3 linked regions of the Lytechinus pictus genome follow. Each later gene encodes a partner of the first gene's protein in a complex. Links are inferred from orthologs where the notes say so. Each region holds a gene or a part of one and is shown on either strand. Other genes may lie near its edges.

Region 1 (10,653 bases):
TCTCCAACAAGCTTTCTATTATTTTGCTTCTGTAGTTTTATGCCTTTTCTTGATTTTTTTTTCGGGGGGGGGGTAGGGCAAGTTTCCCCTCCCCCTCACTTCCATGCATCTTCTATCAAAAGGCTTATGTCAGTGTCCGTAGCTCATTTTCCAAATTTTAGAATGTAGAAGGCGTTGTTTCATGCAACTGCCGTCTCTTTGATCAGTTAATTGAACAGTTCATTAGACCAGAAATTAAAGTAGATCGGTCAATAACCATTTGCATGAGCTAAGAGTTTTCATATGTGGAGAATGATGTTTGAAATACTAAAAGAGTAGGTTCTTTAAGTTCACATTTTAATTCTTAAAGCTCATTTCATCACATGTATTGCCATGTTGGGAAATGCAGTCGCACGACCATTATGGCAAACAAATCTAAAGGCTAATGACCAGTGTCCAGCGCAGATATTGTAATATATAGATTGCATTTCCCAAATTGGCATTGGCAATACATACATGTATGTCCAGGGCTGCCCAGGGTCGGGCTGTCCAGCCCCCGTCTTAGACTACGATATATAACAGCATGGACCTATGATAATAGCAAACGCGAAAATTGTAATGAAGCAAAATGAATTGAATGACAATTATAACTTGCAATGCAAAAGACCAAATAACATTTATTATCTATATTTTCACATAATAATTATAGCAGCAGAACATTGGAAACAACTGTAACTAATAATTATTCACAAAAGCGCCATTCATGTGATAATAAAACAATAAGCTCATCGAACCTAAATGACGTATAACCTTGATCATGTGAACTGAAATTTGTGCAAAATGATCCATAATACTTTAATACCCTTATATTCAAGTTTAATCATGAACTGGATCAATAAAATTTAAAAGTTATGATGACATTACGAAAAAATACCCCCATATGGCCAAAGCTCAGTGACTCTAAATGACCTTTGACCTTAATCATGTGATCTAAAACTTGTGCAAGACGATCAGTAATACCTGAATACTGTATAAGTGTAATTAATTTACGTTCATAACGAAAAAACGTAACCTTGGTTAAGATTTCAAGGTTGATATGACGCTGTTATATCAAAACTACCGTCGCCTCCGCCGGCAAAGTGGCTCCTTTAGTCCCGCTCTGCTATGCATGCAGGCGAGACACAAAAAAATAGGTATGGCCGTGGCAACGGCCATATTTTTTTAGACTTTGATAATCCAATAATTGAAGTAAAATGTAGATTTACAGTCAGAGTAGTTTAAAAATGCTAATTCGATCGTTTTATTCATACATGTATATTTTCTATGCAGAGGGGGCAGTCTGCCCCACCCCCCCTGACGAGTCCCAAACCATGCAAAAGACGTATCCATGCCCCCCCCCCCCCCCCCCGACGAGCTTGCAGACCTTGTTTTTGCTTGTCAAATTTTTTGGCCGACGGCTTTGCCCCCCCCCCCCCTGTGGAAAATCCTAGGTACGCTACTGTTTCTATGATTTTAGATATAGATATTCCTACAAAATTAATGTTACCATGGTAACGGCAAATTAAATATCAGACCTATTTATGAATATCGCCACAGGTAGATTTACGTTCAGCACCAATTAATTCGCGGAAATAGCAAGAAGATCGAACTCTACAAAAGTAAACATAATCCTTTATAATATCATGACGAGTATCGCACTGATTAATATTAGTATGTGCAATATAGATGTAATATTGTGCGCTGTTTGTATTTTATCAGAAATGCGCATCCGATAAAATGTACATTGTTATCTTTCGCATATATAACATAAAATGATATATCTTGCATCTTATCTCAACATTTGTTTTCACTTTATGTGCCATGACAACAATTATTATGTATTTATTCGGTTAGCGCTAAAATTGACGAAATTGAGATGCGGAACACAAACATTATACTATTGATAGTTTTCACAAACTATTATTTTTAGTAAATCACGATTTTATATTTCATATTGCCATATATGTGTGTGTAATATTCCAAATTGAAATGCATATTTAGTAGACTTATCATTTAAAACTCTGAATAAAAATAATTCCATATCAAAGATAATCAAAAATATGATGATAATCCGTCAAAATATCAAAATGCGTGATTTTCAACAGTCTTTCAAATTTTATGCAAAAAATGATACTTTCACGCAAAAGTGTACTTGGCCTCCGCCCGTACGTTATTCCTCAGTTTTTCCGCAAGACTTTTAGCTGGGATGCAAAGAATTGACAAATTGTGCTATCTAATTAAAAACTCGCTTTAGTATGTACTTATACATGTAATTATGTACATAATGTACGGTATTTTCAATTTTTCTTTCAAAATGCGCACCTGATAATTTAAAAATGCACATTGTCTCCTTTCGGATATCATAAAGTGAGATATCTTCCATCTTACTTGTAAATTCTTTTAATATTTGTGACATTAGGACATTTACTATACATTGGATGGACAAACGCAGTTAAATCGAAGAATTTAAGCTGCGTAAAAAAAACTTCAAACTATTGATAGTTTTCACAAACTTTTATTTTGAGGAAATCGCGGTTTTATGTTTCCCTGTGCCATGTGTGTGTGTGTAATATTCAAATTTGAAATGCATATTTAGTAGACTTATGATTTAAAACTCTGAATAAAAATAATTCCATATCAAAGATAACCAGAAATATGATGATAATCCGTCAAAATATCAAAATGCGTGATTTTCAACAGTCTTTCAAATTTTACGCAAAAAATGATACTTTCACGCAAAAGTGCACTTGGCATCCGCCCGCTCGCTATTCCTGGGTATTTTTGCAAGACTTTTAGCTGGGATGCAAAGAATTGACAACTTGTGCTATCCAATTAAAAACTCGCTTTAGAATGCACTTATACATGTAATTAAAAACTCGCTTTTAATTTAGTAAGTACTTATACATGTAATTATGTACATAATGTACGGTATTTTCAATTTTTCTTTCAAAATGTGCACCTGGTAAAATGCACATTGTCTCCTTTCGGATAACATAAAGTGAGATATCTTCCATCTTACTTGAAAATTCTTTTAATATTTGTGACATTAGGACATTTACTATACATTTGATGGATAAACGCAGTTAAATCGAAGAATTTAAGCTGCGTAAAAAAAACTTCAAACTATCGATAGTTTTCACAAACTTTTATTTTGAGGAAATCGCGGTTGTATGTTTCCCTGTGCCAAGTGTGTGTGTGTAATATTCAAATTTGAAATGCATATTTATGAGACTTATAATTTAAAACTCTGAATAAAAATAATTCCATATCAAAGATAACCAAAAATATGATGATAATCCATAAAAATATCAAAATGCGTGATTTTCGACATTCTTTCAGTTTTTACGCTAAAAATGACACTTTCACGCAAAATTGCGCTTGGCATCTGGCCGTACGCTATTCCTGGGTATTTTTGCAAGACTTTTAGCTGGTATGCCAAGCATTAACAAATTTTGCCGTCGAATCCTTATCTAGAGCACTTTTTTACTTTTGGCCGGTCTACTACAACGTGATTAAGGTTGTTTTTTTTCTTCAAATTTTCGCTGTTTGCGCCTACCTCTAAGAAACACCCCTTTTTCTATATTTTTTCTTGCAGATGCTGTCCAATGGACCCCCCACCCGCTTACAAATTGTGATATATTGTGACTGGTAAAGACATCCACAAGGATGATGATGTCATTCAAGATGGCACTTTCCAGTAATACCAAAATAAGACAATTTAAGCGAGACTATTACCTCTGCCACTTTCGCAATGGCTGCGGGAACGGCATCAGCGTCATCAACATTGAAATCTTAACCAAAGTTAAATTTTTGAAATGTCATTATAAACTGAGAAAGTAAACTGTACATGAAAATACATAATAATAATAATAATACTCAGTTCTTGTATAGCGCATAACACATAAATAACGTCTCTATGCGCTTCCAAAGGACTTGGTTATTATTACCCCGGCTGTAGCTCAAGCAGCTAGCTTCCAGCACTCGGCATTTCAAGGAATTCACCTCACCTGGGTTGAGTGCAGCACAATGTGGATAGATTTCTTGCTGAAGGGAACTATGACATGGCTGGGATTTGACCCCACGACCCTCTGTTTCAAAGTCCGGAGACTAATCCACTGGGCCACAACGCTCCACATTGTAGTTAATGAGTCTTGGGTCTTCCAAACCAGTTTGAATGACCACTTAAGATATCCTCCAAGAATGCTTCAAGCGTTCCCATTACTTGTTAAACTAGTTTCCAGTATTTGGTTTCCACTAAACTAGCTTCAGGACTGGAATGAGAACGGGGTCTTTTTGGTGTTAAAACAAGGGGAATTGGTGACAGATTACCTTGTCAGGTGAAACATTTGTGTTACTCACTTGCACACCAATACATAGGAAGGAAGAGAAGGAGGAGAAGATTCCGGGGGGGGGGGGGGGGGGGGCGGGGAGAAGATTTATGCTTACCTCACAGAGGATACATAGCAGTAAATTACACTCCTTGTGGTTAAAATCCATCTTAAATACAAATGCTACGAAAAGGATGCCTCTTGACACAACTGTAAAGGCAGATATCAGCACTGTATATATTTATAGTTTATTTAAAATTCATGCAGAATCCATGTGAAATTGGTAAATTATACAAACTAGAAATCAGATACGACCAAGTGCAAGGGATCAAAGAATTTGACACCCTTCTGAACTTGTCATGCCATAACATGATACCATTAATTAAAACTGGTGCTTAGTGCCTACTTGTTGTACATAACCTTCATGACTGAGTGACTGTGATTCAATTATTGCATATCTCTTTCCTATTTTCTCATCATGATTCATTGTTTATTTGCCTTTTTTCTTCATTCTTTGTCAAATATCTCTGATTTGATTTGTTAGCAATGAAACATCAAGTTTTATGTGCACTTTCTTGATATTTTTGTTCTTTTAAAATTGGCTATCAAGTTGTGCAGGTTTGAGATTATGATAGCAGTCACTTGCATGAACATGTCTGTAACACATCAGTATGATTTCTTTATTCTTAAAAGAAAAAAAACAAGTTGTTTTAACTTTTTTTAATGTGAATTTAGTTTCTGATTACCCTAACTTTAATATTGTATACATTAATTTCAACAGTTAGAATATTGTTTAATATGTTAATTGGAATTTGTTGGTATATGATATGGTTTACCTTTATGTCCTTGTATCTTTTTCTTCTTCTTCTTCTCCTTTTCCCCCTTCTTCTCCTTCCCCTTCTCCTCCTTCTTCTTCTTCTCCTCCCCTCCTCCTTCTTCTTCTACTTCCTCTTCTTCTTCTTCTTGTACGTCATTGTCTTCTTCTACATCTTCTTCTTTTTCTTCTTCCCCTTCTTCTTCTTCTTCTTCTCCTTCTCCTTCTCCTCCTTCTCCTTCCTTTTCCTCTTCTTCTTCTTCTACGTCTTCTTCTTCCTTGTTTCCTCTTCTGTCCACATTCTCCTCATTCCAGCCTTCTGCAATAATAAGGAGGACACAGTCTAGGCCAAGAAAGATTTAGTTTAATGAAAACAAGATAGTGCATAGGGGAGATCGGGGTTAGTTGGAACATTTTTGACAAAAATGGCTGTAAAATCCAAATAGAATTTATTTGAGAAACAATCAATATATCAGCTTAAAGCATAAAGGGCTTCAAATGTACCCCATAAATTTTTGAACTCTATGATGATTACTGAAAAAAATCCACCTTGAACAAGACCATCGCAAGCGTTCCAACTTACCCCATATACGGGGTAAGTTGGAACACTGCATGGTCAATTAAGAATTATACTTCTACTTACAACTGTTATATTACATGGTTTTGCTTTATTTTTTACAAGTTCAAAAAATTTAAGGTGTGTATTCTGATTTGTTGAACTTTATGTTTTCTATTATACAGCCACTCACGCAAGCCGACTGTGTAGTAGGATTACGCGTATTTGTGTGCGCATGATTTTACATGCAATTAAAAACAAAAATTCCTTTCTAACTTCACCAGGCTTGTTGCACATGTGTTGTCTGTAATATGGTGGATGGCAGTTGATAATGGCAATAAATTGAGGGCAGTAGTGCATAAATTTATTAAAAGGCGTTAAAGAAAATTACAATGTTTCAACTTACCCCGCGTTCCAACCAAACTGATCTCCCCTACAGTATCTCTATAAAGAGAAGTTTAGTGTTGTCAAGTAAGTAAAGTACATAATTTTGAAGGGAAAATAATGTATATATTTTTCTTTTCATATTCACAGAGTACATCTTCGTCATCCTTATCAACACCTACTAGACCCAATACAGGAGATGTGAAGGAATTCAATTTCAGATTCCCTCTGTAAGTGTACATTTTAACGTTCAATTACTATTAATTAGTCCTAATTTTGTATCCTGCATATGAGCTTTTTTTCTCTCATTGTCTTAAAACAGGAAGCTAGAAGTCAAAGTTGCTCGCTTGTCTAGCTTGGCTTCTATCTGGCCAGGCTCCATTTGGGGGTGACAACCCTAGCTTGCATCCATATGCACGAGCTGTGAAGGGGAATACCCTGTTTCAGTCCCAGGAGCAAGTGGCTTTGGCCCCTGGCTATATCTGGTTTGGGTTGACTGCCCATTCCAATTCTAATTACTTTAGTCACATTATTTAATTATGTGGCAGTCACTGGCCACTTTTCATCAGATCATGATGGCAACATCAGGCCCAAAGAACAATGTAAATAAAAACAAAAAAAACAAGACTGACTGATGCTACCACACTTCTTCACCTTCATCTCCAATAATAAGACTTCTATATCCAACTATCCACTTGGTCTACTAGCAGATGTTCTAATTTGCAAATTATCTGACACCATCATGGCTCTTAATACAAACTTGGTCTATTATCAAATTGGTCTAATTTCTGTGTGGTCCTACCATCAATTGCAGGGCTCAACTTTAAAAGGGGCTAGGTCATTTTTGATTGGGCACTTTTAAGGAAAGGGAATGTGGCACTCACCTTTTTGGGCATCCAAGGGCATTTAAAAAGGGCATCAATAGAAATATGTACTGTACTTCTCAATGGGACACATACACTGGATTACCACATGTTTTTGACATGGTTTGAAATTAGGCTAAAGTGATGCAATGGAAAATAGGAGATTAGCGTATGTCTACTGTCTTTGTTAAGCTTATTTTGTTACGTAGGATGTTAGATTTGGCTATATAGCAATTGAACAAAAAACTTGAGATATTGAAGAAATGGAATAAACTTGATTATATACTGAAGAAAGGCTTTTCCAGAAGCATAGATTATGAAAAGGTTTGTTATGGAATGTGTGGGTACCCTCCCCCCCCCCCCTCACCCTCAGTCGCATTTTAGCGTCCAAATATGTTCCACAAATTTCCACTTTGAGTTAGGAGCTCACCATTTAAAAACTAAATATTAATGACACAATCAAACCTGCTTAAACAACCACTTGTATAGAAGGACAACATGCCTGTAAAGACCACAACCTTCTATTTTTTCCTTGTATAGTATTCTGCATTGAAACATGTATTATAGCAACCTATCCATAAGGACCATATGCTCGTAAAGACTGCTTTCCTTGTCTACTTTGAGTTGTCTTTATACACAGGGTTCACTGCCCTATGTTCTTCTCATGCATGGTTGTAAATAAAAAGTATTTTGCCCCCCCCCCCTCTCCGCCCTTGACCTTGCCCCTCCTCAAGCCCCTAAGCCAAACATTATACAGTTATACTATTCTTTTTTTCCACAGGAATCAGAGGAAGAAGTACAGTGTGATGCAATTCAATAGAAATGACAATGTTGATCTCTCCAAATGGAAGCAGGTACACATGCAATTATATGGTTAATTAGTGGAGAGTGCAATCAGGGGGAGGGGGGGGGGGTCACAAACTTTGAAATTCTGACTGACCTACAACATCTCATTTACAAGATAGTGCATGTCCAACACTATGAGGTAATGTGTTACACCACACACAACTAGGAATTTAAGTGCAATCTTAAGTCAAACTTAGATCTGTACATGTACATGTTTGTGACCTACCCCCCCCCCTCTCAAATACAGGGTCACTTGTCATAACAATGATATTGCGATTGATTAAGCCCTGGTGTTGTGAATTATGAAAATTACATGTAAACTTGACATGTCATTTCTAACAGTCCAGTCTTATAAAAGCTTAGTGACCAGTGTTTAAGTTTTCATTGATACTTTATAAGAATGAGAGTGTTTGACTGTTTATTAAAACATCTTCCTATGTACTATTTAAGCCATAAGCCAAGAGAGTTAAAGGGATGGTCCGGGCTGAAAGTATGTATAATTTAATAGATAGAGTGGAATTGACTGAGCAAAATGACGAAAATTTCATCAAAATCGGATAACAAATAACAAAGTTATTGAATTTTAAAGTTTAGCAATATTTTTGTGAAAACAGTCATCATGAATATTCATTAGGTGGGCTGATGATGTCATTTCTCCACCTGTTCTTTTGTATTTTATTATATGAAATTAGGTTTATTCAAATTTTTTCCTCCAAGAACTAGAAATATTGGATTGACAACTGATTTAGTGCGTTAGATATTTATTGCTGCAACTTATTTAATTATAAGGGAGACATACTTTTCACACAAGTATGAAATAATGAAAAAATTATGATTTTATGTAATAACATAAGAAAACGGAAAGTGGAGATGTGACATCATCAGCCCACCTAATGAATATTCATGACGACTGTTTTCACAAAATATTGCTCAACTTTAAACTTCAATAACTTTATTATTTGTTGTCCGATTTTGATGAAATTTTTGGCATTTTGCTCAGTGAATTCTACTCTATGTATTAAGATATAAATATTTTCAGCCCGGACCATCCCTTAATATCATACTCCAAGATATACAATTATCTACAATTGGGATATTTCTATTAATTAAATATTCATGCTAGGGGAAATGTTTTACGTCTTCTGAATGAGTTTGTTTGGATTGTTTTACATCTTCTGAATGAGTTTGTTTGGATTGTTTTATTTTGAAGGAGATTGTTTAGATTGTTTTACATGTACATCTTCAGAATGAGTTTTTTTTTAAATCCGAAGACATAGACAAATAACTTCCACAATACCTCCTTTGACCACCGTTCTCTAGGCTAAGATGGAACGAGAGAACAACAAGATCCACTACAAGACGGACCTCGATGACCTCCCAAAGTTTGGGGCAGGGAGTGAGTTTGGTCGGGAGAGGAAAGAGGAAGCAAGGCAGAAGAAATACGGCATCATCGCACAGAAGTATAAGGAGGAGGATCAGCCATGGATTCTCAAACAGGGAGCAGCTGATGGAAAAACAGCTAAAAAGTAAGTAAAGTTATATATCAGTAGAAAAAGGTTGAGAACATGGAAAAGGAGAAGTATACATAAAATGAGAAGAGGGAGAGGGAGAGGGGGAAAAAGAAGAGACAATGATGATTATGATGAAGAAGAAGACGAAGAAGAGACAATGATGATTATGATGAAGAAGAAGACAAAGAAGAGACAATGATGATTATGAAGAAAAAGAAGAGGAAGAAGAAGAAGAGGATGAAGAAGAGGAAGGAGGAGGAGAAGGAGAAGAAGAAGAAGGAGGAGGAAGAGGAGAAGAAGAAGAAGAAGGAGGAGGAAGAAGAAGAAGGAGGAGGAGGAAAAAGAAGTGGAGGAGGAAGAAAAGAGGAGGAGGAGAAAGAAAAAGTAGAAGAGGAGAGTGAAAGACTGGATGGGAGGCACTAATTTCTCTACTGAAAGACAAAATGATACTGAAATTATATTTTCAATGTGTAAGCCCAGAAAATGTCTATTTTTTTCCCCTTAACCCTCGTGCCATGAGGTGACAGCCCTAGGGCCCCGTCTTACAAAGAGATACGATTCATCCAATTAATCGTAACTCTGAAAATCCAACAGTGTCATAACTTTCCACAGGAAATTTGCAAAATGTCCTTTGTAAACAAAGGAGAACAGACCAAATTGCCAAGAAATCAATGAATTAATAAATATACATCATATCTATAATTTTTTTTTGAACAAACATGCATTTTATATGTTGACGTTGCTGGCCATCCATAGTTGCGATTGATCAGATCAATCGCAACACTTTGTAAGACGGGCCTCTGGTTATTTATAAAGAAAAAAAATACATGTACATGTAGTCTACAATTTAGAAGACAATCATGTTTTATTGATACACATCTTTATTTATTTTTAAAAATGTGTAATGATATAACTAGAGTCTGTCTCTTTGTTGCAGGTATCGTGGAAGGAAGGAGGGAAGGATAAATGAGAACTCTAGTTACTTCATCCTCTCTCAGCTGGCTGATGGAACATTTGAGGCATACCCTGTTGACTCCTGGTATAACTTCACAGCAATGCAGACGTATAAGACTCTAAACGCAGAGGAAGCAGAGGAAGAGTTTGGCAGGTAAACTTTATTTTCATTGTCTCAAATAGTTCATCACTACTCAGTTTATTCAATGGAGCGTAGTGGAGCGTTGTGGCCCAGTGGATTAGTCTTCTGACTTTGAAACAGAGGGCCGTGGGTTCAAATCCCAGCCATGGTGTAAGTTCCTTCAGCCAGAAACTTATCTACATTTTGCTGCACTCAACCCAGGTGAGGTGAATGGGTACCTGGCAGGATTAATTCCTT
Region 2 (10,892 bases), on another chromosome or scaffold:
TCAATATCTTCTGCACTATCACTATTTTTGTATTCATATAAATGCGCATAAAACTTCTTAATAGTGGTTAAAATATCTTTGCTATCACACAAAATTTCCCCGTTTTTACTGTATATCTCCTTAATCACGCTTTTCCTTTTATTTGATTTCAATAATTGTTCAAAAAAAGCTGAATTCCTTTCACCTTCTTCGGACCATTCCACCCTCGATCTCACCTTTAATCCTTGACGAGAGTAATCGAAGAGCTGCTCTAATTCACTTTTTTTCGATTCGATTTCATCTTGAATTCCATTGTGAAAATTAGTAACCAAATGATGTTCTAAATCTTTAATATCCTTTTCTAATTTTTCAACCTTTGTTTTTCTAATTGCTGCTTTTTTACGAGAGAATTTCATAATATATTCTCTAAGTTTCATTTTCATAAAATCCCAAAATTTAATTTTACTATTTATTTGGTCTCGCCAGGTTCCCTCTATTTCAGAAACCTCCATTTTTATCTCTTCTACAAATTCTTTATCATTACATAAGCTGCTATTGAACTTCCAATATGATTTCCCATAAATAAAACTCTCAACCAAGTTGCTAAATTCTACACAGACCCCAGCGTGATCAGGTGTAATAGAGGGTAAGATGTCAGATTTTTTTACAAGCTTCTCTAATTTCGAAGAGATGAAAATATAATCTAATCTACTCTGAACAAATGGCTGTTTCTGTCTAAAAGTAAATTCTTTTTTATTTGGATGACGCTTACCAAGAGCTTATCTAGCTTATCTAGCTTATCAAGAAAATCACCTAATAAATCTTTGTATTTATTTTTTGAAACATTTCTCGCACCCATGTAATCTAAGTCATGGTCTATACTTAAATTGAAATCTCCCCCAATTATCAGAGAGCATTCTTCACTAAATACAGATGAAATTATTTTGTCCAAATCAGAAAGAAAATCACATTGGGCCTTTCCTTTATCTCCTGTTGGAAAATATACACTTCCTAGTATCAACTTTTCACTTTGACATTTACCTTTTATTATAATATATCTTCCGCCTTTGTCTATTAAAACTTTTTCTATCACAAAATCAACATTCGATTTAAACATGAGAATAGTTCCCCTACTGTGATTACTCCCGTGACTAAAATACATCTCCCCTTCCCAATCAGCCTTCCAACTATTTTCAATATCTTGTGTGCTAAATGTTTCCTGTAAAAATACTACATTTCCTGACCTTTTGCACCATTGAAAAATTTTCTTTCTTTTTACTTTATCTCTTAGCCCTCTTACATTGACTGTGAGTATTTTTAAATTACCCCTCATTGGTGAAGAGTTGCCACAGTGATAGGACACGAAATGGTGCATTCCCTACTTCAGAAATAAGAGCTTTTAAGTAAAGTTGAAAATAATACAAGTACAGACAGACACAGAAACTTCCAATTACACACATAGCACCCCACTCATTCACATCCACACCAGAACTGGAAAACATACCACTCAACGTATCACTCCACTTCATCCCAACAAACATAACACATACACTTCTGCAAACATACTCAAACACACGCCCATAGACTATCCTTTGCACGCACAAACACCCCAAGACACTCTCACAAACACCCCAACACACGCACACCAGCATGATTGACATATATCCTATAGACCCGCAGTTCCGCCCCCCCCCCCCCCCCCCCCCCCCCCCCCCCGTTATAGAGCAGCCATTTGTATGCTGTCCATATTAACATTATCTCCCTTGTCTACAGAAAATATCTACCTATATAACGCTGAGAAAAAAAAAATAATAATAATAAAAGAGTCCGAAAGAATAACCTGATTCTGTGTTTTAGCCCTTGTCCCATATCAAAGCTAGACTTAAAACGTTTAGACCTTCATAACATTTGGAGTGAACACATGTAAGAGTGAACCCAAATAAACCTACATAATAGGATATAACTCACTTGAAACGTATAGCATACTTAAAGATACCAGTCAAAATGAATACAGGACATCCAAGAGGGTTCTTATTGTAAAAGGTATTATCTGACTGCACCGATAAAGGATACAGTTGATACTATGTTCCAACCTGTCCAAACTATTCCTATTCTTCTACATCCTAATTGAAAAGCAAATGGCAAAAACTCTTCCGGATACACAAAAATTCCCAATAACAATAACATCGTTCCAATAAACATATACAGCAGGACTTGTATACCTGCATTGGCATATTTGTTATTCTTCTGTAAACCAATATGAATGAGATTTGGTATGAGAAGAGCTACTACCATGTGTCCTCTATTTATAATAAGCATGATAAGTGATACAATGAATGAAAGAAAAAAAAAACACCTTTCAATCAATTCAAATCAAATGACAATACCAACAACAAAGTCATGATTATCCTTAAGAATGTATACGGGAATCTTTCAGACTCGTTCTGTGATGTAGTCATACATGTTCCACCCACTAGACCCATTACATTATGAATGCATGCATGGAACAAACATTTACCCCACACAATAAACGTCATTCAAAATCGCTCTGTCCCCCAGTTCATCAGAATAAATGACAAAACTCTTCAAAGTACTTGAGATCCCATGTAAAATAGCGCCGTTCTAATCAGAACAATCAGAAACAAATGAGAGCAAATTTCTTGTCACTCGAATAGCTGGTTACTTTCAATAACATTAATGGAGCTATTCAAATTGCCTATGCTAATTTGTTTAGAGCCATTGTAACACAGATATCCTAATAATGTACTCTGCCAATTAAAGCTATACCTGCCTGAAGCAAAATCCTTCCACTCCTTCATTATTTTGTTTCATTGAATATGTAGATCAATAACCCCTAAAGAAATTTCAAAGACTCTAATTGTTGGAAGTGTCATTCCATGTGACTATTATCATTCAAAAATTCATGGGATGGGCGATAGAAAAAAGACTTAATGCATAATCACCAGCAAAAGGATCTTGCTTTCAACTCAGGGTCATACAGACGAATGAATTATCAATACAAAATTGCAAATGCACACAGAGCTATTCATCCTGTCTACCTTCATTAGCAATATTTATTCTTTTATAAACCGATTTAAGGTTATGCATTTAAATTAGACTGTGCATTGCATTACTTTTTCCCCCTTTTTTGGGCTAAAAGTGGTATAGTGAATGAGCCAAGAAACCCCTTCCTACCTTGCAAATTCAAGCTCAAAATTAATTAATTGCAAGTTAGGTAATATTTTTGTACCTTATTGTTTCAACACACCAAAGATTAGTGCATTAACTCTCTCAAAAATATGTAAAAAATTAAAGAATTTTAAAGAATGTTATTTAACATCTTTTTTGCCAGTCCCTCTCTCTCCCTCCGCCTCTCGCTTACAATAATGACGATACCAATGTACGATCGGAATGCGCTATTTTTTTTTTTTTTATCCAATTAACATCATAACTTTTGAAGGAAGATTTACCTTTTTTGTCTTCCTTTTTTTCAGACAGTTACTCCTCCTATCCGCTATACAAAGCGAAGAGATTGACATAACCAGATACATGTAGCTATAGATATTGGCATCAGACCTACAACATTTAACTAGCATTCCTGTCATTATTAGAGGCAGTCCCCGAGAGCGTATAGAGAGGGAGAGAGAGAGATAGAAAGAGATCATAAAATAAAAATGCATATTGTAAATACATACAATGTATACGCATATCCACTTATTTATAATGGATAAAAAAAGTATCTCTTCAAATCCATAGTTATTTTGCAAAGGAAATCCATACTTATTTTACAAAGTAGCTCCACAGCACTTTAATTCACTGCAGTTAAAAAAAAAAAAAAACTGCAACTTAAAATGCCATTTCCTTTTTCCTCCCTTTCTCTTGGTTTGAACTTAAAGTTTTGTTATTACTTATTCCCACAAATATAAAAGAGAAATGGTGAAAGAAAAAAAAAACAATAGAAGAGGCTTTCTTTAGTAGGCCTATATTTTTAAATATTTACTTGGTACATATAAGAAGGCCTAAGAATAGCCTGCACAAGCAATCAGAGCCACTTTAGGCTCTAATAAATATTTATTTAAAGAAAGAAAAAAAAATATATGTATACAGGTCTATGTTACTTTTACACAAAATAAAGGGTGATTATTCCATGAACGTCTTCTAGTTTCTTCATTCTAGTTTCTTCTCGTTGCATAATATCTTTGATAATAAAAAAAAAATATCAGCTCTCTAGCTTTCCACTTTTGAACATTGCGTCTCCTTTCCTTCCTTGCGTCAAAAATAAGATAAGATAAGATAAGAGTACGCAATATCTTTTCTCACACCACGCTTTAGTTATTGCTGTTATATTTTCCTGTCTTCTTTGTCCTGCATTTCTCTTCCTTTTTGTTTGAATAGGAATATTCTTCAATCATCCTCATTGCATCTTTCAGAAATAATATACAATTTTGGTTTTAGTTGACTCGCATTTTGTTGTGAAATATTCATCAAACTAAATTCTTATCACAGTTTAACAGTTTAAATGGTGTTTAGAAGGGTCTCACTTTGTGAAAACCTCTTTAACTCCGTAGTCTAGAAAATTAAATGCTTAGTGTAAGCGAATGTAAACATAACTGATACTTATCCAAGCTTTTCTCCTTGTATTCTCATAGCGCCAGTTGCTTATTCAGGGAGATTGGGCTCTGCACCAGTAGCTACCTGAAGACGTATTCCTGGGTTACCGGGATGTGTCTCTGTAGGAAGTTGCCGAATGAACACTTGTTGTCTCTCCCGTGGCACGTAAACTCGATCGATATACAATTTCCAAGGTTCGCTTCGGGAGAAATAAGCCATCTTACCTGAAGACCGGGCTGCCTTTAAGGCTGGCAATTGAGCTCTTTGACGTTCTCTTATTCGCAGTGGGAGATCCTCTGTAATAAACATGCGTGAACCTTTCAAATTCTTCGCCCTTAGAAACACAGCAGCGCGATCTTTATATCTTAAAAATCTTGCAATGATGGGGCGCGGTCTTCTGGCAGAGTTGATCCGATGGGCTCTTTGAAATTCAATCCTATCTGCAATCGCTCTATCAAATCTAAGATGCTCCACAAAAAAGTCCCGTAAAAGGTTCTCCACATCTTCCTGTTGATTACCTTCTACTATTCCGTGAAAAAGTAAATTTTCTCAATTAATGTATGTCTTGAGACTGTCAATTTCCTGGTTGACTATTTCCTTATCCTCCTCTATTTTCTGCTGAAGTTCTGAAATATTCTGTCCATTAAAAGTGACCGAATTCACAACATCGTTAAGTTTTTCTTCAAATTTCTTTATTTTGGCTCCAAAGTTAAGTTCCAAAACTTGAATTCTTTCTAGTACCTTTCCTATCTCCTCTGCTAACATATTCTTAATGGCAGGCAAGAGAGCAGGTCCTTCGGGACTAGAGCCGGTAGATGGTCGAGGGCGTTTCCCGCCTTGTTTCCCTCGATGACCGCTCGACATTTTCGTAGTTACCGATATTTTTTCAACTTCAAATATCCACGTTACATAATGGGAGAGAGGAGGCGAACCCGCGATACGTGTTACTCAAGGACGAACATGCTGATATAATTTCATGTATATACTTATAGGTAAAGTGCGCCATCTTTTGACAGATGATGATGAAAGTGGATTGAACGAGCAAGAAAATAATGCTGAGCGCCTAGAATGCAGCTAGCAGTACAAGCTGCAGACAAACGGTACAAACCGGCATAAGAATAATATCGCATGCCCTCTTTAGGCAAAAATTGATATCCATGCTGATCAGGAGGCATCTACATGAAGATCAAGCAAAAATGCTTTTTTTTAATTAAAAAAACAGCAAAGAGAATTCAACAAACGATCATATGGTTCGGTAAGTGTCATAGCACAATTAGAAATCTTAGCTATAATGGTATGTCATAGTTATTTGAGCAAAAAGGGTGTGAAAGATTCGCGTGCACCAGGTGCATATGAATCCTTCGCACGCGAGATGAATTGAACCCATGGGTGGCACGGGCCATGGCGCATGCAGCACTCGGAGTCGTACTCGCATGGCCAAATTCAAATTGAACACAAGCCATAACCTTGTTCTCTGTAACATCTCCATCAAACATTGCCAACCTTATTGTGCCACACATGGAGTGGCACAATATAAGGTTGGCAATGTTTGGCTTATTTTCTCTTTTTCTTTGGGACAAATGCTTGATTTTTTTTACACTATCAGTATCAGTTTCCATTACAGCTATTCATCATATAACTTGGCTCTTAAGTAAATTTGATTCTTTGAATATTTTTTCTTAATTAAAAATAGAGATTAAAAATGAAAATTTTCTTGCCATATTACTTTCCACTAATAGAAGGGCATGTTATACACAAAAATATGCCCAAAATTCAAGTTTTTGAGCGCTCTGGTGAATACAAAAATTATTCCCAAGTTACTAATGAAAAATATATTGCAACTGTACAAAAATTAGTATTTTGGGGCACAAAGTGATATCTTAATGATTTTTTAAAGTGTGTGCTGTATACTGCATGGGCTCCAATATAATTTTAATCCTGTTGGCCCAAAATAGTTATATTTTTAACTAATATTACACATAATGAATGAATTAAAAGTAGAGGAGCGTTTACTCACAGACTGTTATTGTCGCCATCTTGCCGTCTTAGTTATCGTAGCCTAGCTACAAGAAGCGTATAGAGGGCGACAATATCATGAGCAGTGCAAAATTAGAATTTAAAAAATACTTGTAGTTGTATCGGCCAATAAATATCATGAATCTTAGCTGAAAGATAATGCTTTGAGATGCCTCCACTCAGCAATCGATATGTCTCAAGCTGCTAAATCAAATTATCAATACTTGGTATCAAAATAAAGTTAAAAATTTCTCATGATCATCCCATTTTGAAAATGGCATAATTGTTATCAAATTAAAAGCATGAAAGATTCTGTTTTTTTTCTCCAGGTATCACTTGAACATGAAATTCTCCTTCATCCAAGATACTTTGGACCGAGCCTACTCAACACTGTCAAACAGAAGTTGTTCACTGAAGTAGAAGGGACCTGTACTGGGAAGTGAGTACACCCTCCTATTTTGAAATTTATGAATAAGCCTAAGCCACTTTCAGGATAGCACTTGTGTCAGCAATGATCCCCCTTTAAAAGTATGATGAAAAGTAAATCAGTTTATAACTTTATTAGGGAATCATTCGTTTATTGACAATGACATATTTTTCTTTTATCAATCAGTTATATATGGTTGTAAAGTTTGATGGAATATAGGAATCAATTGTATGAATGCAAATATTTACACATTGTGCAGCACTCAAACCAGGTGAGGTAAATGGGTATCGGCAGGAAGTAATTCTTCAAAAAGCTGTGTGCACCGGAATCTGTAGACTAGCGTAATATAGGAGCGCCTTGAGCACCTAGGAAGGTGGATACGTGCACGATACAAATCCTATGTATGTAGTTCCTTGTGCACGGATTATTGGGTTATTAGGGACTTATATTATCAGGACTTATATTATCACACAACAGTCAAAAACATATTCGGCTAGAGCCTGTCAGAATTTAATCATGTTTCCTACATGTTTGAATCACATGAAATATTTTGTTATTGGAAGCTTTTGTATGTTTTGTGAATTTGGATAGGTTTATACATTCTGATGGTTGATCTAAACCAAAAGATTTAAAAAAATAATTAAAAGCTCACCAAAATAGAACCTATTGAGGCAGAGTTTCACTTGTCTGAATATATAAACGTTTAGTATTGAAGAGGATCTCAGACTATGAGTAGAAATATCTGTTATGAACAATGTTTTTGAAGGAATGTAGCACACTGTTGCATGATATTCTATTCTAATGTAGGTATGGCTTCATAATTGCTGTTTAGGACCATTGATAACATTGTTGAAATGTCTAGTATTTGAGATGGTTTCTGAATCTTAATTTATGGACTTGTATGTTTTTGTAGGAATGTACCTTACTGATGACATTCTATTCTAATGTATCTAGGTATGGCTTCGTCATTGCTGTTACGACCATTGATAACATTGGTGCTGGGATGATACAACCAAGCAGGGGCTTTGTTCTCTACCCAGTCAAATACAAGGCAATAGTATTCAGACCATTCAAAGGAGAGGTAGTAGATGCTGTAGTCACACAGGTCAACAAGGTGAGAATTTGATTTTGGACAATGAGGTTACTACTGACCAAGGTTAAGATGATAGGTCACATATCAAGTGACCATGACCAACAACCAGTGTTGGTGATTTGTGATGTTGGTGATGATGTAAGTTGGTCACCTTGGAAACAACTGATAATCAGTCTCAACTGGGTGATATAGTTTAAATTTTAACTTGTGGGTGAAAGCTAATGATATGAAGGTAATATTTGTCCACATTGCCGTTTCCTGTAATAACTTTACTACCATATCTGATTACTTATGAATTCATGTACTTGCAATATGGGTATGTATTTGTGATACTAGTAAAGTCATTTCATTGAAGTGGTAGAATTTATAGATACATGTAAATTCTGGTACTGCTATAATATTAGTGATATGAATCAAGTTTTTACATTTTCTCAAGTCTTGCTGATTTAAACCCCATTCTTCCATGTGCTTGTTTTTTTTCCATGTGCTTGTTTGTTTAACCTGACTAAAGATAGAAGTATAGAAATAAATTTTACTTTGAATTTTCCTTTAATACATGTATATCTTAATTTTTCCTAGGTTGGCCTTTTCACAGAAATTGGACCTTTGTCATGTTTCATCTCAAGACATGTGAGTACTTATTTTTGTCTCACCTGCGAAGCAGAGTGAGACTATAGGCGCTGCTTTTCCGACGGCGGCTGCGGCGTCAACACCAAATCTTAACCGAAGTTTTTTAAATGACAGCATAACTTAGAAAGTGTATGGACCTAGTTCATGAAACTTGGCCATAAGGTTAATCAAGTATTACTGAACATCCTGCCGTAGTTTCAGGTCACATGACCAAGGTCAAAGGTCATTTAGGGTCAATGAACTTAGACCATGTTGGGGGAATCAACATCAAAATCTTAACCTAAGGTTAAGTTTTTGAAATGTCATCATAACTTAGAAAAGATATGGACCTAGTTCATGAAACTTAGACATAAGGTTAATCAAGTATTACTGAACATCCTGCTTGAGTTTCACGTCACATGACCAAAGTCAAAGGTCATTTAGGGTCAATGAACTTTGGCCAAATTGGGGGTATCTGTTGAATTACCATCATAACTTTGAAAGTTTATTGGTCTAGTTCATAAAACTTGGACATAAGAGTAATCAAGTATTACTGAACATCCTGTGCGAATTTCAGGTCACATGACCAACGTCAAAGGTCAATAAACTTTGGCCATAATGGGGGTATCTGTTGAATTACCATCATAACTTTGAAAGTTTATGGATCTGATTCATGAAACTTGGACATAGAGTAATCAAGTATCTTTGAACATCCCGTCCGAGTTTCAGGTCACATGACCAAGGTCAATGAACTTTGGCCATGTTGGTTTTTTTTTTTGAATTACCATCATATTGGTGTAATTGTATTTGTCTAGTTCATAAAACGTGGACATAAGAGTAACCAAGTATCACTGAACATCTTGTTTGAGTTTCAGGTCACATGACGAAAGTCAAAGGTCATTTTAGGTCATTGAACTTTGGCCATTTTAGAGGTGATTATTAGATTGCTGTCATAACTTTCAAAGTCTATAGATATAGTGTATAAAATGTGGATATAGGGGTAATCAAGTATCACTGACAAGTTTTAGGTCACATGATCAAGGTCAAATATCAATGAACGTAGTATTGTATCATTATATGAATGGTGTTTTTGTGAATAATTATTTTATAGTAGTTTTCAAAGTCAGTACTGCTGCTATATTGAATCGCGTGATGCAGGTGAGACCGCCAGAGGCATTCCACTTGTTCATGTAAGAAAATCATACGAAATCATATTATCTGTTGTTCTGTTCATGATTTGCAAATATTATTTTGTTGCTTAATTTCCCTACAAAATTTGGAACATACAAAGCTAAGTTTCAATGTACATTGAAATTGGTGTGAGGCAAAGCTATGTCATCTGTTAACCCTAATTCTCCCGGGGCCATAATGGCCCCCCCCTCGACAATTTTCGCGATATATCCGCTGCGCAAATTTTTTGACCTCACCGCTCACTGACTTTTTACTTTCAAGTCTCGCGCAAATTTTGAGACCAAATTTGTGACGACCGGATACGCGGTTACGACATTACGCAACATTATGTAAGTGCATGTCAGACCCAAAATTGCTCACAAACATGATTTCATGTACAAATCCAATGCAAATTGTGTATTTAGCCAAAATTCATAAATGTATCATTATTTCTACTTTTACTGATTGAATTTAATTAATTTTGCCTTGCTTATGATCAGAATTAAGTCTGGAACGATTTCCATTGAAAAAACAATAAAAAAACAAAAAGTAAAAAAAACAAGGAAATACATAAGAAATTCATAAAACAATAAAATACATAAGAAATTGATTTCCAAACTGAAGTTTTTTTTAATTGCGATTGTTAAGAATGCTACAAAGAATATTTTAACCAAAAATTAGCATTCTAGGAGCTTTATTTAGTGAATTAGAGCAAAAAGTATGATTTATGCATAAATTAGCATAATTAATTCATATAAAATAAAATCTCATTATTTTGGAAAATTTTACCATACAGCCTTGTAGATTACATCGCACACAACCAGCGTGCAAATTTTTGCGTCGCTCGAGCGATCAGCGGCCGAGATCTTAAGGGGGGGCCATAATGGCCCCCCCGGGAATGACAAGAATCAAAATACCCCGGGAGATTGAGGGTTAAGAAGACTCAACTTCAGGTGAATTTGAATGCAAAATTATGAAGTATATAAC
Region 3 (11,491 bases), on another chromosome or scaffold:
GAATTGCCCTTGGGCGTGCTGGGTCCTGGCCTGGCTTGGCCTAATTAATTGGAAAGACTTCCTCTTGCAACAGCCACCCAAAATAACAAAAGATTGTCGGGACTTACGGTTCATTCACTTCCTGTTTCTCTAAGTTTTTTTTTTTTTTTTTAGTGTTTCTTACCTTAGCTGGGACTCGAACCCACGTCCTTGTGACTGCAGTCAAGATTCTTCCCGCTATGCTAGCAAAAAGCACTGATACCAGAAGGGGTTTTTCAGCGATCATAAGCCGATACTTCAACTAGGGTAGGAATTTAGACCATTTAGTGACTAAATAAACCGATGTCTATGGACAATTACACCCACTCAATCCTGCTCGAAAATTTGACGGAATAAAGGCATATTTTGGTATGTAGACTATTTCCACATCATATTATCATGTTCTATATTAGGGCTAGAAATATTACATTCTCCATATTTTTATTTTCAATTTTGGTGGCTGTCGCAAAAGTAGGTACTCCCACTGGCACTAGATGGTGCTGCGTGCATGTACACAAAAGTCAATACGTGAGTTGGACCCACCTGTTCTTCTATACTTTGAGTGAACCATTTAGTTATTTTGAGATCTAGCAACATCTTCACATTTTTTGGCAGCCGAGTTGATTATCTATCAATGTGACATGTTTCCATGGCTCCTCTGGGAAGAGAACACAGCCCCAGGCCAGGGCAGTATTAACATGGCCACCACTCACTAGCCTACAGTAGGCCTAATGAGTGTACAGTGAGGTACCATTTCTAATATGGTTTTTTTTTGGGGGGGGGGGGCACATAAACATGATCTATTTTGCTACTTTTTCAGAAGTTATACAGAATTTCTGCTTAACTGGCGTGGCGTCCGTCCACAATTTCAAAATGCTTCTTCTTCATCATTTCAATTCTGTTTGCTTCACTAGTATATGATAGCAATTGGTGGGGGATTCAAAACTTTTACACAGAATTTTGAAACTCATTAAATATGCTAATCTATGTGCATTTTTCAAAATTCACAAAAGTGCTTCTTCTTTTTTGTTGACAGATTTTGATTTTTTTGCTTTCATCTGGTAGAGCTTCATGAGGTCCAGCAAACTTCTACACAGAATTTTGAAATTTTGACTATAGAACAATTTTTATGCTAATTTATGGGTATTTTAAAAAATTCACATAAAATGCTTCTTCTTCTTTATTTATTGACCAATTTTGATTTTTTTTCCCTTCCATCTGGTAGAGCTTCATCAAACTTATACACAGAATTCTGAATTTTGATTAGAAAATTATATATGCTAATTTATGCGAAATTTATTCATAAATCACAGAAAATGCCTCCTCTTTATTTTTTGACCCATTTTGATTTTTTTTCTTCCATCTGGTAGAACTGCATGAGGTTCACCAAACTTGTACACAGAAATGTGAAATTTTTACTAGAAAATTATTTATGCTAATTTTATGCAAAATTTATTCATAAATCACAAAAAAAAGCTTTTTCTCCTTCATTTATTGATCAATTTCAATTTTGTTTGCTTTATATGATAGCTCTAGGTGGTATACAAAATTTCAACACAGAATTTTGAAACTCTTTAAATATGCTAATTTATGCATATTTTTCAAAACTCACAAAAAATACTTATTTGTTGACTGATTTTGATTTTTTTTGGTTCCATCTGAGAGCTACATGAGGTTCACCAAGGTTTTTTAGAAATTTTGACTAGAAAATTATTTATGCTAATTCATACGAAATTTATTCATAAATCACAAAAAAATGCTTCTTCTATGTAATTTCTTCATCAATTTCAATTCTAATTCCTCAACTTATGTCACCAATATAATTCACTACAATGTCAACTGGGCTGAAATTAAAATTGTGTTAAAAGTTGTTGCGAGACGCCGGATGAGCTCCACATCATTGATGTGCTAGTTATTATTTTTTCGTACTTGAAGATTATTTTTATATGTTTTTAGCTCATCCGGCCCGAAAAGCCAGATGACCTTATGCCGTGGTGTGGTGTCCCTCATCTGTCGTCGTCCACAATTTCAAAATGCTTCTCCTTCGTCATTTCAAGTCCGATTTCAATTCTGTTTGCTTTATATGATAGCATTAGGTGGGGGATTCAAAACTTCTACACAGAATTTTAAAACTCATCAAATATATTAATTTATGCACATTTTTCAAAATTCACAAAAAATGTTTCTTAATTTGCAGGCCGATTTTGATTTTTTGGCTTCCTTCAATCAAGTTTGATTTTCACGGCAGTGGGGACAGTTTCAACAGTATAGATATACTCATGATGCAGTCCCGACTCTATGGGATACATTTCAATTTGGACGCTGTGGGGACAGTTCCAAGTTCCAACAGTATAGCTATACTCGTGATACAATCCCCACGCTATGGGATACACATTTCGTTTGGCACATAGTGGGGATAGCTCCATCAGTTTATTATACTCTAATACCGTCCCCTCACAACATAAAATCGTGCTCGTTCGACAAGGGGATGGGGACAGTTTCCCAGTGCAAGGTGACAAGGAATGATCGAGGCTGAAGAAGATGTTCACAAACTTCAGGGGGGGGGGGGGGGTCACCAGGAAAAGTGTGCCCCTTTGAATTAGATCACTATAGACTCATTCAAAACCTTTGGGTATTATTACCATCATCATTGTCATCATTATATTATCCTTATTATTGTTAATATTGTCAATATTATCATTATTATTATTACTATCATCATCATACATTATTATTCTTTATTATTGTTGTTTTATTATTACTATCATCATCATAATTCATTGTTATTCTTTATTATTATTATTCTTTATTATATTATCATTATTATAATTATTCTTTATCATTGTGCCCCTTCCATCCATTCCGTTCCTTGTATTTCATTTAATTCCTTCAAATGAAATCACTTTAGACTCATTCATAACCAACGTTTGGGTATTATCATTATCATCATTATTATTGCTATTATTTTTACTATTTTTTATTTTTTACTTATTATTATCATTGTTTGTTAATATTATTCATCTTTTATTATTGTTATAATAAAAATTATCATTGTTATTCTCTATTACCATTAATATCATTATTAATTATTATAATTATCATCAACATCATTATTGCTATTATTTTTTATTATATTTATAATCATCATTACCCCATCATTATCATTGTTATCATTACTTTAGTACTTTTCATTTCCGTCACATATTTGTATCGATTCCTTTTAACTTAAGTTTAATGTTTTGGATTTGGGGGGTTGACTCTAACTCTAGTACTCATAGTCATAGTCATACATAGTCTAAGTCTAACTAAGACTAAGTTAGTTTCAGTGTCATTCTTCATTCATTCTCTTGCCCCCCCCCCCCACTTCCCCGTTTGCTATTGGTGCCCTTGCGCTTTCCCCTTATTTGTGTGTTCTACTTCTAGCTTTCTTCCTTTCCCCTTCTTTCTTTCTCCTCTCCTCTGCAGCTCAGGCTCAGCTCAGCCCCGAGTTCTACTACTACAACTAGTATACCCAGTTGTTGTGTGTCCGGACAGGTTGTGTGTCCAGACGATCAATTTTAATTTTTAGAAAGTCATTTGGAAAAATTTACAACCGAATTTTTATCAATTTTTATTACAAAATGTTGTTAGGAAATAATTTATAGAGAACAAAATAGAAGATGATTACAACTATTGAATTCATATCTTTAGTGCAATCCAAAGACAAAAAAGAACTCTTCAAAAATATAAAGTGTCCGGACACCCGACCCCCCCATCCTACAACTTACAAGTAGGATGGGGGATCGGGTGTCCGGACACTTTATATTTTTGAAGCCTTCTTTTTGTCTTTGGATTAGGCCTAGGCCTACACTAAAAATATGAATTCAATAGTTGTAATCATCTTCCATTTTGTTCTCCATAATATTTCCTTACATTTTGTACGAAAAATTGATGAAACTTCGCTTGTAAATTTTTCCAAATGACTTTCTAAAATTGATCGTCCGGACACACAACCTGTCCGGACACACAACAACTGGGTATACTACGAGTACTACTAGTATGGCAGTGAGTCCAAACTTCGCGCGTGTCCATACTTCGCGGACGGTCATTATCTAAAAAACTAGCCAATATCCTTAAAATCTGACATCATCAACGTGAAAAGCGACCTAAAATTACCCTTTGGTGTAAGTTTCTTTAGGATGAGTTCAGTATTCATGAAAATATTGGCAAAAGATCGGCAAATTTGTCGCCATTAGCGCCCGTTTTGAAGAAATCTGATATTCTCAACAAGCATCACGATATCACCATTTTGCAAGCATAAATCATCAAAAATGTGAGTTAAATATGGTACTAACCGATTCTATAGCAATTTGCCATCAATCTGATATAAATTTTTCACTTTTTCAGCTTGAGTTTCTGTTTAAATCTCCACAAAAACTTTGGTCCGCGAAGTTAGGTCACACTTTTTCTTAACGGTTTTCCAGCACAGCGCGCATTCGCCAATCGGAATAGAATTTTGAGATCGCGATACCGGCGAAAGCCCTTGACCTACTTCACATTTTCGTCCATGATTTTATACTTTACGATCTTGCCGTCAATGTGGTAACTATTTCTTGAATTCTTTTTGTATGAATTATGAATATTTTGTGAAAAAAAATCAGCCTGATGAATATTTTTGAAAAGTGCGCGAAGTTTGGACACCCCATCATACTAGCCTGGCCCCCTGGGCCTGGCGCAGCGCCGCAATAGAGATTGGAGCTGGCGCTGGAGCCCCAGGATCAAGATCGAGGAAATTGTCTCGAGAAATGGCCATCACGCGCGCCAGCGGCCAACACCGATAACGCTCACATTGTGTTTAACTGTTTTTAAGATAATATTTTGATGATTTTAAAGTACTCGTTATTCACAGTTTTATGGCTTTAAGCCTTCAAATAATAATAAAACATTTTGAAATTTTGAACTCACCGCCTCCGTCGACGACGAAAACGCAGGTTGAGATTGAGCTATTTTTTTCTTGAATCTCTCAGCGCTGCCTGCGTGCGCAGCACGAAAGCTGTATTAAGGAGAAATGAGTTTAGTCTGGAATATTGGTCACTGTCATTCGTACACAATTGATTCATATATGAAATTTTATAACAAATCGAGTACTATAAACAGTGTTTTTAGACAAAATAAAACTAAATTACAACTAAATTTTTATTTCACTATTTTTGCGTATACGACTGATTGAGAAGGACCTAATATTTTCTGCAAAATTCTTTCCACGTTTTCTTTCTTTTCAAAATGGCGGCGTCTGCGCCCCTGGAAATTTTTCTCCCTGAAAGAAAAAGTTGTAAAATTTCTAAATTGAAAGTGAAATCTGGCTCGAAAGTATCAAAAGGAACCGTATTGTTATTCTATAGATCTGAAAATGAAGATATCGGTGGTGAAGAGAAAGGACCTGAGCAGAAATTGAAGTCTCAAGATGTTGGAACTGTCAAAGATATCCTTGCAAATGAAGGAGACGAAGTGAAACCAGGGTATACATAATAAATGTGTATTTTAGGATAGTTTTGGATTACAGTGTAGATATAATTTATTTTCAATTATGATAACAGTTGCTATGAAAAGTAATATTAGCTATAATGAATGGAGTTAAGGATAAGTTAAGTATTGTAGATAATTCTATATTCATTTCATAAACCACAGCCTGATGCATTGCCATGGGCATGGCCATGGCCATGGCTGATAAGTGATGGCATGCACACAGCACAGACACAATCATACGGCGGGTTCCCTCAAGTCTGCGCAGTCCCCCTTGTCTGCGCACACGCGTATCTGCGCGATTCTAGTAAAAGAAGATACGCAAAGAACACAGACTTTACACATGCAATACCTAGACAGATATCCATTAAAAAATAGGACTAAAAATGGTGGGAAAATAATGAATTTAGGGCATTTCATGTGACGACCTCAAAGTGCAGCCTTTCTCATCAAAATCCCCGAAATGTGTGCAAAGTGAATGGGTGTGCAGACATGGGGTATGGTCAGTTCCCCCAAGTCTGCGCACCCGCGTATCTGCGCGATTCTAGTAAAAGAAGATACGCAACGAGCACGAACTTTACACATGCAATACATAGACAGGTATTCATAAAAAAATCTGACTCAAAATGGTGGAAAATAATGAATTCAGGGCATTTCATGTGACGGCCTCAAAATGCAGCCTTTGTCATCAAAATCCCCGAATCGTGTGCAAAGTGAATGAGTGCGCAGACATGGAGTACCATTTTTGTTTCAATCTGAAAATGACTGCCCAAAGGTTTTTTCAAGAAAATCTTATATTTTCTTTCATTTTTTAATGAGAAATTTGGTACACTTACTCTTGATAATATAAGGAACACTATTAACCAAAAGATTTTGTGAAATAAGAAGGAATTCATGTTAAATCTTAACTCAAATTGTTAGGTGCGCAGACTTGGGGCCCACCATCATACCATTTTTTTTTCAATCTGAAAATGACTGCCCGAGGTTTTTTCTAAGAAATTCCTATATTTCTTTCAAATTTTTATGATATTTGGTACACTTATTCATAAAAATATAGGGAACATTATTAACTGAAAGATTTTGTAATATAAAAAGAAATTCATGTTAAATCTTAACTCATAATATAGGTGCGCAGACTTGGGGACCATGCACCATCATAAATTAAGTGGCGGGGGGGGGGGGGGTGCATGGGGCTTTGTCTGTCTCCATGTCAGCTTAGCTCCTGAATTTGAGATTACACATAATTTTCTTGTTTCTTTTTCTTGAAATTCTCACAAAACTGCTTTATAAATTTGGATGATTCAGGCTCTTTTTTCATGAAATTTCACCATCCAGGCCAGGGAATTTGATGAGGCTGCATTTTTTTTTTTTTTTTGATGACAAGTAAAGTGAGTCCACCACATATCCACCACCTCTTGGAACCAACCACCTTGCGCGCATTTAATTTATTGCGTATTACGAATACTATGTGAGTGAGAGTAGGCGCACAGTGTGTCTATACGAACGATAAGAATCAATTTTAAGAGAAAAAAAGTGATAAAAAAGTAGGAAATTTGTACAATTTATAACCAGATCCGAACTCCGTAAAACAGCCACAGCATCCCCCCCCCCCCCCCCCGGGTACAGTGCCTGCTCGATCGATCCCTCTAATTTTTTATGTGTGTGTGTGAAAAATCCTTAAACATGGGGTTTGGTTTTGTGCTTGACAATCCTTAACTTCCTCTCCTTTTTTAGTCTTGAGTGCATGATGAGCCCTTTTTTTGTCAAATGAGAAAAAAAACTTTCAACATGGGTCTATTTGAGGGAGAAAATTCTTCATAAAAAGTACCGGTACCTTTTTCTGGCAACATTGCTCAAAAAGAGATGGGTTTCAAGGTTGCAGCTGCACACCGGCCTCCAGTCCGAACCAAATCTTAGTACCCCCCCATCCTGGGGCGAAAGTTCATTCCAAATTCATATGCACATATCTGATGGTTGAACATGTTAGATTCGTGCTATGCAATTGAATTTAGGGTGCTGCTTTATAAAAATAGCATCATCACAAAATCTACAAGTATGCAAACAATTTTTGCCAATCGACCCCTGCATCATATCTGAGAATTTATTCCTTAAAACCTTTTTTCTTTTTCTTTGTAGGTCGGTTGTCTTGAGGATTGCAAGATGTTCACATCCCACAGTTATGAAAGACATGTGTGCAGAATGCGGGGAAGATTTGAGAAAGTGAGTAACGCACTAACTAATGTGATCTAAATTTGGGGATTTGTAATAACTGCATGGGTATAATGTGGTCTTTTGAACTTCACAAGAAGATTTTAATGGACAATAAAGAACTAACTTTAATATACATATTCTTTTGAATTTGTTGAAATATTTCTTGGTTTGTGAATACAGACCTGGACAATTATTTTTGAAAAATCCTTCCTTAATCAGACATCCAGTGTTTGGTTTACTTCCTGTGATCCTGTCATGATTTTTTAACTGATGTTTGCTAAATTACTTTAATAACACTTCATTGATAAATCGATCCACATGACAGTTATGTCACTGGTTATGAAAATTCTTTTTCAACCAATAAAAAACAAGTCTAGCAATAGTGTGGCTGGATGTGATTGTTATTTTCTCTATTTGTAACTAAAATGAATTACACCAATAAGTCCCGAAATATAATTTTATTTTTCTAGGGATGACGATGACAAGCAGACACCTGCAAGCAAAGCATCTGTTGCTATGATTCATAGTATTCCTGAACTTCATGTCAGTAAAGAAGTAAGTGGTTTCTTTGTGATAGTTTGAAATGGTAATTGATTTTTTTATAGAAAAAAACTAAGATTTTAACATCTCGTAGGTGCTTTTAGCTGTGTTCTCCTAACTTATACAAGAACATATTGTAAAGTCTGCAGAAACAAATAAATAAATTGATAAATGAATGAATGGATGAATGATTGGATTAATTTACTAATGAAAAAAAGAAACAGAGTAATTATTGAGTGAATGAATAGATAAATGAAAAGAAATATCTAAATTGATTATGAAATTAAATGAACTGATCAATAAATAAATTTAAAAAAATACTTTTAAGCAGTAGGCCTATAGATGAAATAAAAAATAAACTCATCTCATTCGTATTTTCAGGAAGCTGATGTTCTTGCCAAGATTGATGAGGATTCTCTTATCAAGCACAAAAAGTTGGTTCTTCTTGTTGATCTGGATCAGACGCTAATTCACACTACGCTTGATGATGTCCCTGCAGAGATGCCTGTAAGTCAGGCTATTTTCATCAAGCTTTTATTAAAGGAGAATGAAACCAGTGGAACAAGTTAGCCTTTGTGAAAGGAAAAAATAAAATCAGAGAATAAGATCAATGAAAGTTTTGAATTGGACAGACAATAAAAAAAAAGGGGACTCTCCTATTGGCAAGGCCAACAAGATATTTTATGTCACACATGTCCCATTCGACAATGAAAAGATAGCCCAGGACATCTCTGTCTGCAATCTAATGATAAGACTCTAAGACAAACAATTCATCCATGATGTCTTCTCATAAAAAAAGAACACCCAATCTTGTGATAAGACTAGATAAAAGAGAAAAGTTGAGTGAAATATGTTCTTAATTGATGCCAATGGGAGGATTAACACAGTACTAGTGATCTCGGTATTCAAATTCCCATAACTGTCTTATTATTCATTCCATTTTTCTCCAACCTTAATTGATTGGTTGTTTGATTTTTCTCTTAAATGTTATTCAACTGGTTCAAGGGTTTCATTCTCCTTTAAAAACAACTTTACGAATGACCAGAATATTATTTTCCAAAATATGATAATTTGAAGCCAAGAGTGAAGCAAAGCTGTCAAGGCTCCTTGATTATTACAGAAGTTCCTGAAAATTAATGAATCTCAGTGAAAGCTACTGTCTTTAATGATCTGTCTCCCCGATTCATGCATTGATCTTGTATATTACAGTAGGTGTACTGACTATAGCGAGACCCCCCTCTCCCTCTTCCTCTATGATTGTGTGTGAATGAGCAGAAGATTAGTACACGCTATTCACCAGTGCATGTAACATTTGGAAGTATTTTTGCTCGACCAATATTCCTTTCAGACAGCAGATAAAGATTTTTATTTATTTTGAATAGTTGGTAATATAATAGTAAGATTTTTTTAAATTGATTATTTTGCAGGGAGTTCACCATTTCCAGCTGAGGAAGGGTCCCATGTTCCCCTGGTACCACACTCGGATCAGGGATAACTACCAACAGTTCCTGGACATCATCAGCCAGTTCTACCAGCTCCATATATTTACCATGGGGGTCCGCCTCTATGCTCATACTATTGCGGAGATCATTGACCCGGATGGGAAGTTCTTCTCCCATCGTATCCTCTCCAGGGACGAGTGCTTTGACCCCAACTCAAAGAAAGCAAATTTAAGGTATTTTTTAAATGATTTTTGTGTCCTTGCATTGGTGGGCTTTCAGATCGTAGTCCTTTGGGGAATGTTTCACAGTTTAAGTAGAAAGAAAAGGTAACAATGCACAGAAATTTGACAAATGTTTTTGGACTTTCTTTCTGTAATTTTGAGGCATTCCTTGTTTGAGTGTATGTGTCAATTCTTCCCTTTTCAAAGAAGGACACATTGTAACAAACATTTTGATTGTGCGTCCTTGTGTGATGAATGCTCTCATTGGATGAATTTATTCAAAGATACAATTTCATTTTTTCTTGAAAGATGCTATTCATCTTTTTTGTGATTATTTATTTATATATCTCTTCAGTTTGAAACACCAGCCATTGGTGACATGTTTATTTATTGAACACTTTTACTCATTGCTAAAATTGTTTTGAATAGAGAAAATTAAAACAAGCATAATGCAGAAAATTTCATCAAAATTGAATGTAAGAGCGTAAGATATATGGAAATTAGGCTCATATTTACAAAACGATTTTGTGCACAACTTGGGTGATATACAGTGAGATAACTGGTATTTGTCACACCCTCACCATTTATTTTGTATAATATGATTTATTAAATATTTCAGGTTTTAGTCGATTTGACATTAAGGAAGCTCATCATTAAATCACAATAGGATGCAAAAATGGCAATTTCACATGTTCAGGAAGGAACTAGAACTCGTTTCACGTTGTAATAAGAAAAAAATGAGTTCTTATAAGTAATGAAATACAGAAGAAAGTGAGATGGTGACGGTTTCAAGTCCCTCATTTGTATGCTGACCAGGATGTGCAGATTACTGTAAATGTGAAATAAAGCCAAAGCTCAAATTGTCATAAGTTTCTAATTTCACATCCAACTTAAAGTTGAATTAAGAAGACGATTCCAAATATTGAGATATTTACATTAATAGCAACCTTACAACCCCCCAAACACTAAGAGGTGATTCGACCCCCCATTTTCTTTTTTCAAAATAGTGAATTTGAACGATTTATCCCTACCCATTTTCCCTGAGTTCGCTCATGCAATGCCTACCGAGACGGGTGTTCTTTGACTGTGACGTCACCGGGGGGTATTCGGTCCCGGTGTAGTAAACAAGGCAGTGCCGTTTTGTGTACTATACACGTACACCTTCATATTTACTTTTGTGTAAAAACTTCATTTTATCGCTATTGATTTTATGTGAACGATACTGAAAGGAAGTAATAATTATTCAAAGACATATAGTCAATAATATAACCCTACATTGTTAAAACTGTTCTTCTTTGTAGCGATTTTAGACGATTTTAATGCCTTGTTTTCGTTCGGGACTGTGTCCGTGGCGAAACAAGTCATAATGGAATAAACTGCAGTTGAAGTTGTATCTACGAGCCGGAGAACTTGCAAAGAGGAAATGATTAAAAGTATATTTATGGCCGTACTATTATTCCTAATATGTAAATTCCCTCAGAATGATACCATAGACCCTAAATTAATAATTTCAAGGCGAATAATATTAAATTTGATCGAGATCTTCTCACCAGTCGA

What was found.
Region 2: general transcription factor IIF subunit 1-like (region 1) and DNA-directed RNA polymerase II subunit RPB7 share a complex: the UniProt entries of both Homo sapiens proteins name them as parts of the TBP-based Pol II pre-initiation complex. The link is inferred for Lytechinus pictus from reciprocal best matches to the Homo sapiens genes GTF2F1 and POLR2G.
Region 3: the proteins of general transcription factor IIF subunit 1-like (region 1) and RNA polymerase II subunit A C-terminal domain phosphatase-like are in contact, whole or in part, in an NMR structure (PDB 1ONV), measured with the Homo sapiens proteins. The link is inferred for Lytechinus pictus from reciprocal best matches to the Homo sapiens genes GTF2F1 and CTDP1. Residues at the interface, in NP_002087.2 of Homo sapiens: Thr470, Lys471, Leu474, Gln478, Ser486, Thr489, Val490, Leu493, Ala494, Leu497, Lys498, Leu500, Asn501, Pro502, Arg504, Met511, Phe513; in NP_004706.3 of Homo sapiens: Ala946, Asp947, Met949, Ala950, Lys951, Ala952, Leu953, Glu954, Glu956, Leu957, Asp959, Leu960, Met961.

Annotation. Positions count from the first base shown.
Region 1 is NC_087255.1:31,038,121-31,048,773, forward strand, and holds the start of general transcription factor IIF subunit 1-like, read left to right. Parts: upstream 1-6,205; 5' UTR 6,206-6,220; coding exon 6,221-6,330; intron 6,331-7,744; coding exon 7,745-7,817; intron 7,818-9,129; coding exon 9,130-9,335; intron 9,336-10,257; coding exon 10,258-10,428; intron 10,429-10,653. UniProt on the Homo sapiens protein: TFIIF is a general transcription initiation factor that binds to RNA polymerase II and helps to recruit it to the initiation complex in collaboration with TFIIB. It promotes transcription elongation.
Region 2 is NC_087251.1:16,536,691-16,547,582, forward strand, and holds the start of DNA-directed RNA polymerase II subunit RPB7, read left to right. Parts: upstream 1-6,125; 5' UTR 6,126-6,908; coding exon 6,909-7,045; intron 7,046-7,987; coding exon 7,988-8,147; intron 8,148-8,705; coding exon 8,706-8,756; intron 8,757-10,892. UniProt on the Homo sapiens protein: Core component of RNA polymerase II (Pol II), a DNA-dependent RNA polymerase which synthesizes mRNA precursors and many functional non-coding RNAs using the four ribonucleoside triphosphates as substrates.
Region 3 is NC_087246.1:36,951,157-36,962,647, reverse strand, and holds the start of RNA polymerase II subunit A C-terminal domain phosphatase-like, read left to right. Parts: upstream 1-5,013; 5' UTR 5,014-5,280; coding exon 5,281-5,516; intron 5,517-7,656; coding exon 7,657-7,740; intron 7,741-8,201; coding exon 8,202-8,286; intron 8,287-8,652; coding exon 8,653-8,778; intron 8,779-9,698; coding exon 9,699-9,946; intron 9,947-11,491. UniProt on the Homo sapiens protein: Processively dephosphorylates 'Ser-2' and 'Ser-5' of the heptad repeats YSPTSPS in the C-terminal domain of the largest RNA polymerase II subunit. This promotes the activity of RNA polymerase II.